Cricetulus griseus: one gene and its partner. Each later gene encodes a partner of the first gene's protein in a complex. Links are inferred from orthologs where the notes say so. Each region holds a gene or a part of one and is shown on either strand. Other genes may lie near its edges.

Region 1 (3,751 bases):
TGAAATAAATAAAACACTTGCAAATAACAAGAATCACATTATGAAATCCTGGTAGTGGCAGCTTCTTAAAAACTTTTAGAATGTTCTCTTTATTTAAGAAAACTAAGTCTAACTCAAATCATTACCCAGCTTTCAAAAATACATAAACTTCTTGATTGAGAATGTTTTAGGGCTCTCTCTGAAAAAGAAAAAGGCTATCTCAATTCTTAATGACTTTACGCCTACATAAAAGTGAAAACTTACATTATGTTCCTTCAATGCTAGTATAATCCTCCAAAATGTAAAATGTATTTACACATTTTCCTATTTCTTTTTTACACCCAGGTTTTGCAAAACAGAACCACTTGCCTGATTCGGCCTTTCTCTTTTCTCCCCTCTTTTTGGAGTCAGTGGTTTCTGGGGTTTCTCTTTGTGGAGGTTCTTCTACTGTCTTTGGGTTGGGGTCCTGGACATTCACAGTAGAACTAGATGCACCATCACTAGAAAAGCCGTAATTAGCCTGATACGTAGCAATGAAATCTTCAGTGATCTAGATGGGTTAAGTCAGCACATATGCAGACATGGTTACTTCATGTGTTATACAACTGTACATTCAGTAATATAATCTAAGACTTTAACAAGTGTTTATGCCAAGGGTAGTTGTAATAATTAAAATATAATAGGAGAGCAGTCATCTTATATAGAAACTGTAACACGAAAAAAGTACGAAACTATGAAAAAGTGCTCAAACTACCAACAAAAAAGTATGAGAGAATTTTAAGTGATGCTAGCACCTTTTCTAGTTGTCTTATAAATTCTTGCTTCTCCACAGTATATCTGACTAAGGTGGCCGATACAGAGAACAAAAGAAGTATCAAATAATGATACAGAGTAAAACCAAAAGTCAACTAGAAATCTAATCACAGAATCCACTTTTGGATGCACAAAAATACGTATGTACACTAAGATTTTTATGTTTATGTATGAAGCTGGAAACTGCTAGAACACAAAATGCCCATTTGAGTTTGAGCACTAATTCAGAGAAACGCTTAGTGACAGAACAAAATCAAAGGCAAGCCTGATACACACCCATCGCCCTGGCTTTGCAGGGGAACCCACTATTGTAGAATGGCTGAATGGCTGAATGAGTTATGAGTTATGACTATCACTTTCAGGTACACAGAAAAGTGAAAATTTTACCCCCAAAGTTTGAAGAACCAGGGTTTTAAGTAACGTAAAAGATAAAGTTACCAAGTAATTGCCGTCGGACTATTAAAAGGGCTCAGAAGGTAGAAGAAATCACATCTACATTCAAGGTGGCATTACAAGTCCAGAAACGGGATAGCAAATTTCAACAATTTGGGGAGCTTGAGATATGGACAAATATAAAATAAGAAAGAATAGCTGAAATACTTTTTAAACTAACACTCGGTCTACACAATGGAGACAAGTTTTTTTGTGATTGGCTCCCAAGTCACTTGACGGGCTGTTCGTAACCTTTAATACTAATGCCCCTCCTAGGCTAAGACTAACAGCGTACTTTCTCCATACAGCTTACACTAGTTATTTCCACGTTGAAATTAAACACACAGCAATTTCCAAGTACTCAAAACGAATGTAGAGACCTTTTCCAACCATTTTCTGTGCTTTCCCAGTCATATTCCTGTGGTTACAAGAGTCAAACTTAGATGCCCTGGAACAAAATTCAGTAGAAAAATAAACCAAGACGCAAGGAAAGTTTATTCAATAGAGTGGGGTAAAAGCCTTCTTTCCCGCCCCCTAAATCAACAAGCTGCATTTTATCCACAGCATGGACACTAGACATCTCACAGGTTTGGCTATACAGGATAAAACGGTTACAAATGTGTTTTCCTTGGTGTTTTTCCTTTTGGCAATAAAAAGCAGTCATCAATATAACGCCTGTGACCTTCACAAAAATTAATAAGGCATAAAGAACATTTCAGGCACCACCATAAGGTTTTCTTTCCTTTATACATCGGATACTGGAACGGACGGAACAGACGAGCCATCAAGCAGCGGTTCAAGGACCTAGTACTTGAGAAGAGCAAACGTAAGAGGGGGTGTCCGGCAAGGGTGTCCAGGGGAGCCCACAGCCACGCTCCGCAGCGGCAGTCCAGCCACCCTTTTCTTACCTTGGGGAACCAAGCCTTCTTGTCAAGGTCCCACTCGTAGGGAGTGTCATCCTGCGGTTGTCCCCCCGCAGATTCCGTTTCTCCGGAGGCATCGTTCGGGGTGTCACCGTCCTTAGGGTCCCCGTACAATTCTTGCATTCGCAACTGTTCGTCAAACTCGTCGTTCGCGCTCAAGTTGTTGCCACTCATGTTTCTGAAGCGGGGCCGGGAGCAGCGTTCAGAGACGTGAAGAGGCCGACAGGGCGCTGGAGAAGTGAGAGAGCCGGAGGTCGGCAGAGCTCAGGTCGTGTGCGGTGCAGCCCCCTTGGCCCGCCTCCCCGCAACGCCCCAGCAGTCCCTGGGAAGGCTGAGCCGCGCCGCGCCGCGCCGCGCCGCCCAGGCTCCGCCCTCCCGGCCGGCCCACAGGCGCGCGCGCGCGCGCGCACTGGCGTTCCGAGGCCGCCGGCGGCGCAGTGGCCGCCACCCCACCTACCTGGCGGGCTCGGCGGGGCCTGGACGCCCCCGCTCGGGCCAGGGCGAAGCGGAAGCGCGCAGGCGCGCCGTCACCGCCACCGTCGGCTCCGGAGGCACCACAGCTCCCTCCCGCCTCAACAGGAAAGTCGCTTGAGAACGGAGTCCGCCTCAGGCCGATGCGGTCGCCATTGACCGCGCGTGGCGACGTAGCGGGTCGCGCTGACACGCCCACTCTTGCGTCAAATGGCCGCGACGCGGGGCGGGGGCGGGGCGGGGGCGGGGGGGGGGGGCGGGGGGGCGGGGCGGGGCTGCCAGGGAAGGCTGCCGCCGGAGTGTCCGTGCACCCGATGGGGACGCAAGCCTGCAGGAATCCATGACACCGCAGGGGCCTTGGGCCCGGCGGCGTCCTCTGCACTTTGGACGAGGCGACAGCCTCATTCTGACAGCAGTGCTGGCGCGGGCTGGGCTTTGCGGCAACCGCCATCTTGGGGAGGTGGGTGGGACCGTGGGGACAAGTTTCTCCCGCTTCGCGAAAGCCATGCGCCTCTTTTCACGCCAGATCCCGCCCCTGCGAAGGAACCAAGTATATCGTTTTGAATTTCTTGTCCTACACTACACGACACACGGCTTTTGCTCATCTCAGTAACCCAAACCAGTAACATGCTGTTTGGGATCTAGCGAAGAGTGAGTGAATAAGTGACTGAACATGGGCAGAAGGTCCCATCACCTCCTAAGCTCACCCCCTTTTTATGCATCTGGTAGCACCTTCCCTTCAGGTTGCAGTTGCTGAGGGTAGCAGTTGCCTGCATCATACTGCAAGGTACCAGAGGTGCTGAGGCCTGGAACTTGACGCTTGACTGTAAACATCCCCGTGTACAAATGCCAGCTGGACCATGTGGCTCGGTTTCTTGTCTCTTAGAAAGGCAACCAACTAACTGCCATAAGCAGAACTTTTCCCCAAAATACTTCATGTCTCTCTACACGACAAGGGGTCCATGTTTTAAAACAGGCAGGTTTATACTGCACTCCTATTAAGTGCCAGGCACTGGGGGAGGTTCTGGGACAGCAGTCGGGAAGACAGGCACAGATAAGGGAGACTCACTTATGATTTGGCGAACAATAAAATAGAAGTACCAGAAGCTGGAGAGCAGACATCATTTTGTTTT
Region 2 (3,651 bases), on another chromosome or scaffold:
GTAGGAGGGGCCACTTGCTCTGGCTAGGGAAGAGACCGCAAGCTTACTCACAGGAGACAGCATCTTCAATCTGTGTCACATTTGCAAAGTGGGCAGTGTTTGGGATGCCCAAACACCTCATGCCATGAGCATGACGCCATTCCTAGAAGAGAAGCAAAGGGACAATGTGAAGCAGAGACAGTTGAGAGAGCACTCACTTCATTCTACCAGACCCAACTCCAGCAAAAGGAAGCATCCCTTCTGAGGTGTGTCTACACACACAGCTGGCTGTGACTGACACAGGCTGGCAATGTCAAGCAGGGCTGCACTGTCTCAGGCTTACAAACATCAGATTCCAGGGTTGGTGTTGTTAGAAAAGTGCAACTCAGACTCATTACTCAATCCTATGGAGAAGCTGATAGAGCCAGCAACCATAGCAGCAGGGCTGTGAGGGCAGGCTGGTATCCCTGGAGGTACAGGAGCAAACTGCTGAGCAGACAGAGCATGGTGAAATCACAACTTCAGCTTAAAGCCACCATAGGCTTTATCCTGGACACCAACCCCAATCACCTGAGGTGGTACTAAGAAAAACTCAGCTCATCAGAGGCATAGAGAAAAAGACCCAGGGGCAGCTAGTAACATGTCTCAGAGGGGAGTTCATGTAATTCGCCATGTTTGTCTAGTATTAAGTCTCTTCCATTATGTAAAATGCCCTCCAAAAATGGACAGAATGCAACAAGGGTGAACCCACTTAAAATGAGGTAGTAGTACTCAGACACAACTTGTGTCAAGAATAGGTCAGTAAATATCAGGGCCTATTTTTTTCTGCAAAGAGGCAAAGGCCTATTTAAAACCTAAAAAGAACCCACAACTACAAAAACCTGCTCAGCCCCCTTTAATAGCAATGTAGAGACGACCAAGAAGCCAGAGATGGTCCAAGATGCTATAGAAAAACAAGAAAAGAGTGGTGGCGCAAGCCTTTAATCCACACTTGGGAAGCAGAGGCAGGTGAATCTGAGTTCAAGGCCAGCCTGGTCTACAGAGTGAGTACCAGGAGAGGCTCCAAAGCTACACAGAGAAACCCTGTCTCCAGAGAAAAGTATAAGAACAAGCAGGAGGAAGCCACATGAAGTTCCACAGCAGAGTGGTAGCACGATTCCAGATACGACCCAGGTTTCAGGGCTAGCACAGCCGATGGCCATTGGCACAGGCCTCTCTGATTCCTTTCAGCTCTGGACACTAGAGGCCTTCACAGACTGCTACCATTCTCCTCTCTAAAGAGTTGTTTCTACTCAATTCCCAAGAGAAAAGGCTCTGAACTTCTTACAGCAAAGTGCCTCTGGAAGGCCTTCGGCCCTCGGTAGGTGTAGTTTCCACAAATCTCACAGTTGTAGTTGATGTTCAGGCCATGAAGCTTATACAGCCAGTAGGGGATGGGCTAAAAGAAACCAAACAACAGCATTAGATTACCAAGCTCTTGTGTGCTTCCACAATGGGAGAGGAGAGGGGTCCCATGAGGCTTACTTTGCCGTCCCAGCCCAGGGGCAGGTTTTTGGGGTTGTAAATGATCTCATTCTCTTCGTCTTCACTTTCGCTCTCACTGATCTGCTCCTCCTCCTCCTCCTCTCGCTCTTCTCCTGTCCTGGCTTGCTTGCGCTGTACATTTTCATGAGTGAGCTGTCGCTGTTCCTAAGATGGGTAATAAAGAGCAAAGACAGAGGAAATTAGTGTAGACATGAAGGGACAGTTTCTCTAACTCTTGCTGATGCTTTCCTGCCAAGGATAGGTTTTGGTTGTAGAATAAGGGTTGGCAAGACGGCTCTGCTGTTTAAAAAGTACTTGCCAGGTAGCCTGATGACCTGAGTTCAAGCCTCAGAATCCAGGTAAAAAACCACATCTACAATCTTAGCATTTAGAACACAATGGGAGGTGGAGACAGGAGACTCACCTGGAAGCCCATGGCAGACTAGTCTGCAGCATGAAGCACAGTACCAATGGGAGGGAGATGGGGCCTCAGACCAAGGTGTGAAGGTGTGAACAGAGTCCTGAAACTTGTCTTTTTTTTTTTTTTTAAAGAATTTTATTTATTTATTATGTATACAGTCTTCTGCCTGCATGCCAGCAGAGGGTACCAGATCTCATTCAAGGTGGTTGGGAGCCACCATGTGGTTGCTGGGAATTGAATTCAGGACCTCTGGAAGAGCAGTCAGTGCTCTTAACTGCTGAGCCATCTCTCCAGCCCCTGAAACTTGTCTTTTGACCTCCACATGTGAGACTATATTCACACACGTCACATACATGTCATACATACACATGTATCTCTGTCACACACACACCCCACTCAGTAACTTTAAAAATTAATAGAAAATAGGAGAGTAAGTCTTGCCTTCTTGTTAGAACCATGCTCACAGTCCACACCTGGTTCTGAAGGAAGTCCAAGGTTTTAGTGCACAAGCCTGGATCCTCACAGGTCTCAGCACTGCTGAGCCAGTCTTTCTACTGTGGTGACCGCCCTGCCCAAGACGGCCACTTCCATTCACAATGAGTTCCCTATTTGGTTGACTTTCAATGCAGCCACTCATTTCTCTGACCTCAGTGTGAGGTACTTAAGGACCACGACACACTCATTTCATATGGAAAATTCAGTATAATGCTTCAAAACCAACAGCCATAAATAAATGGCGAAGTAATGACAAACATCCTATGGTTCAGAGTGAGAGCAACTTTGGGAAGCACAGGCTAGAACTAGTTAGAATTCAGTAGAACTGGTTAGAATTCAGAGGTGCCATGTCCTGGTTGAAAAAGCAAAACACTTCCAGAAAAGGGAGAAAGCAGTAGGCATACATCAGGCCAAGGGCACGGAGGTAATGGCTTCTCAGCCAGCTTCAGAGGACTGGCCACCCACACTGCTACCCACATTACAACAGCCCATGGTCACTGCCTCGGACATCTAATGTCTGACCAATCTTTCAAGAGACTCACTCATTAGAGAAGCAGCAGGGGACTACTTCCCCAGCTGTGTTGGTGGGTGCTAAAAATAAATCAGAATCATTTATTTCTGTCCACAGAAAGGGCAGATATACAAACAAGTTATCTTGGACAAGTCAAACCTGTTCCACCTCCCACCCACCCTTGGGACTCCCTGAGACAATGCAGGAATGTTCATAGCCGTCTTGGTACTAGCCTTCCTCTAGCCTTGCTTGGTTTTACAATCTCCACATGGGCAGAACACTGTGTCACAGTAAATCACCCCTGAAGCGCTGCTATGAATCACCTTTGTCTTGCCTTTTGAGTGCCTGCTTCTTGGGTCACCCCCGGTCTATGCTGAACCTCAGCAAAGAGCTGCATTATTCTTGATCTGGCTGAAAGGGTGGGGGGGTCTGTTGTCTATGTCTGGCCTTGTGGGAATTGGGCAGCCTTGGGAATATCACTTAACAACAGAACAGGAACCTACTGAAGGGCCAAGGACTTCAAGAGAACCACAATTTAAAATGAATTTTCTGCCTACCCCCTCCTTATTTGAACGTGGGAAAAAAATTCTTCATATCTAATTCCCACACGGAGCAGCACCACAGCTCTCACAAGACAATGCACTCACCCCTAGAATCTCCACGTATTCATAGATCTGAGCTTCCAGGAAAGCAATATCTTTGTTCCTCTCAGTGTCTCTGA

The links.
Region 2: Htatsf1 (region 1) and Sf3a3 share a complex: the UniProt entries of both Homo sapiens proteins name them as parts of the 17S U2 SnRNP complex. The link is inferred for Cricetulus griseus from reciprocal best matches to the Homo sapiens genes HTATSF1 and SF3A3.

The regions. Positions count from the first base shown.
Region 1 is NC_048604.1:15,383,302-15,387,052, forward strand, and holds the start of Htatsf1 (HIV Tat-specific factor 1), read right to left. Parts: upstream 2,748-3,751; 5' UTR 2,605-2,747; intron 2,378-2,604; 5' UTR 2,322-2,377; coding exon 2,133-2,321; intron 530-2,132; coding exon 349-529; intron 1-348. UniProt on the Homo sapiens protein: Component of the 17S U2 SnRNP complex of the spliceosome, a large ribonucleoprotein complex that removes introns from transcribed pre-mRNAs.
Region 2 is NC_048595.1:28,339,797-28,343,447, forward strand, and holds part of Sf3a3 (splicing factor 3A subunit 3), read right to left. Parts: intron 3,648-3,651; coding exon 3,578-3,647; intron 1,669-3,577; coding exon 1,504-1,668; intron 1,418-1,503; coding exon 1,307-1,417; intron 143-1,306; coding exon 52-142; intron 1-51. UniProt on the Homo sapiens protein: Component of the 17S U2 SnRNP complex of the spliceosome, a large ribonucleoprotein complex that removes introns from transcribed pre-mRNAs.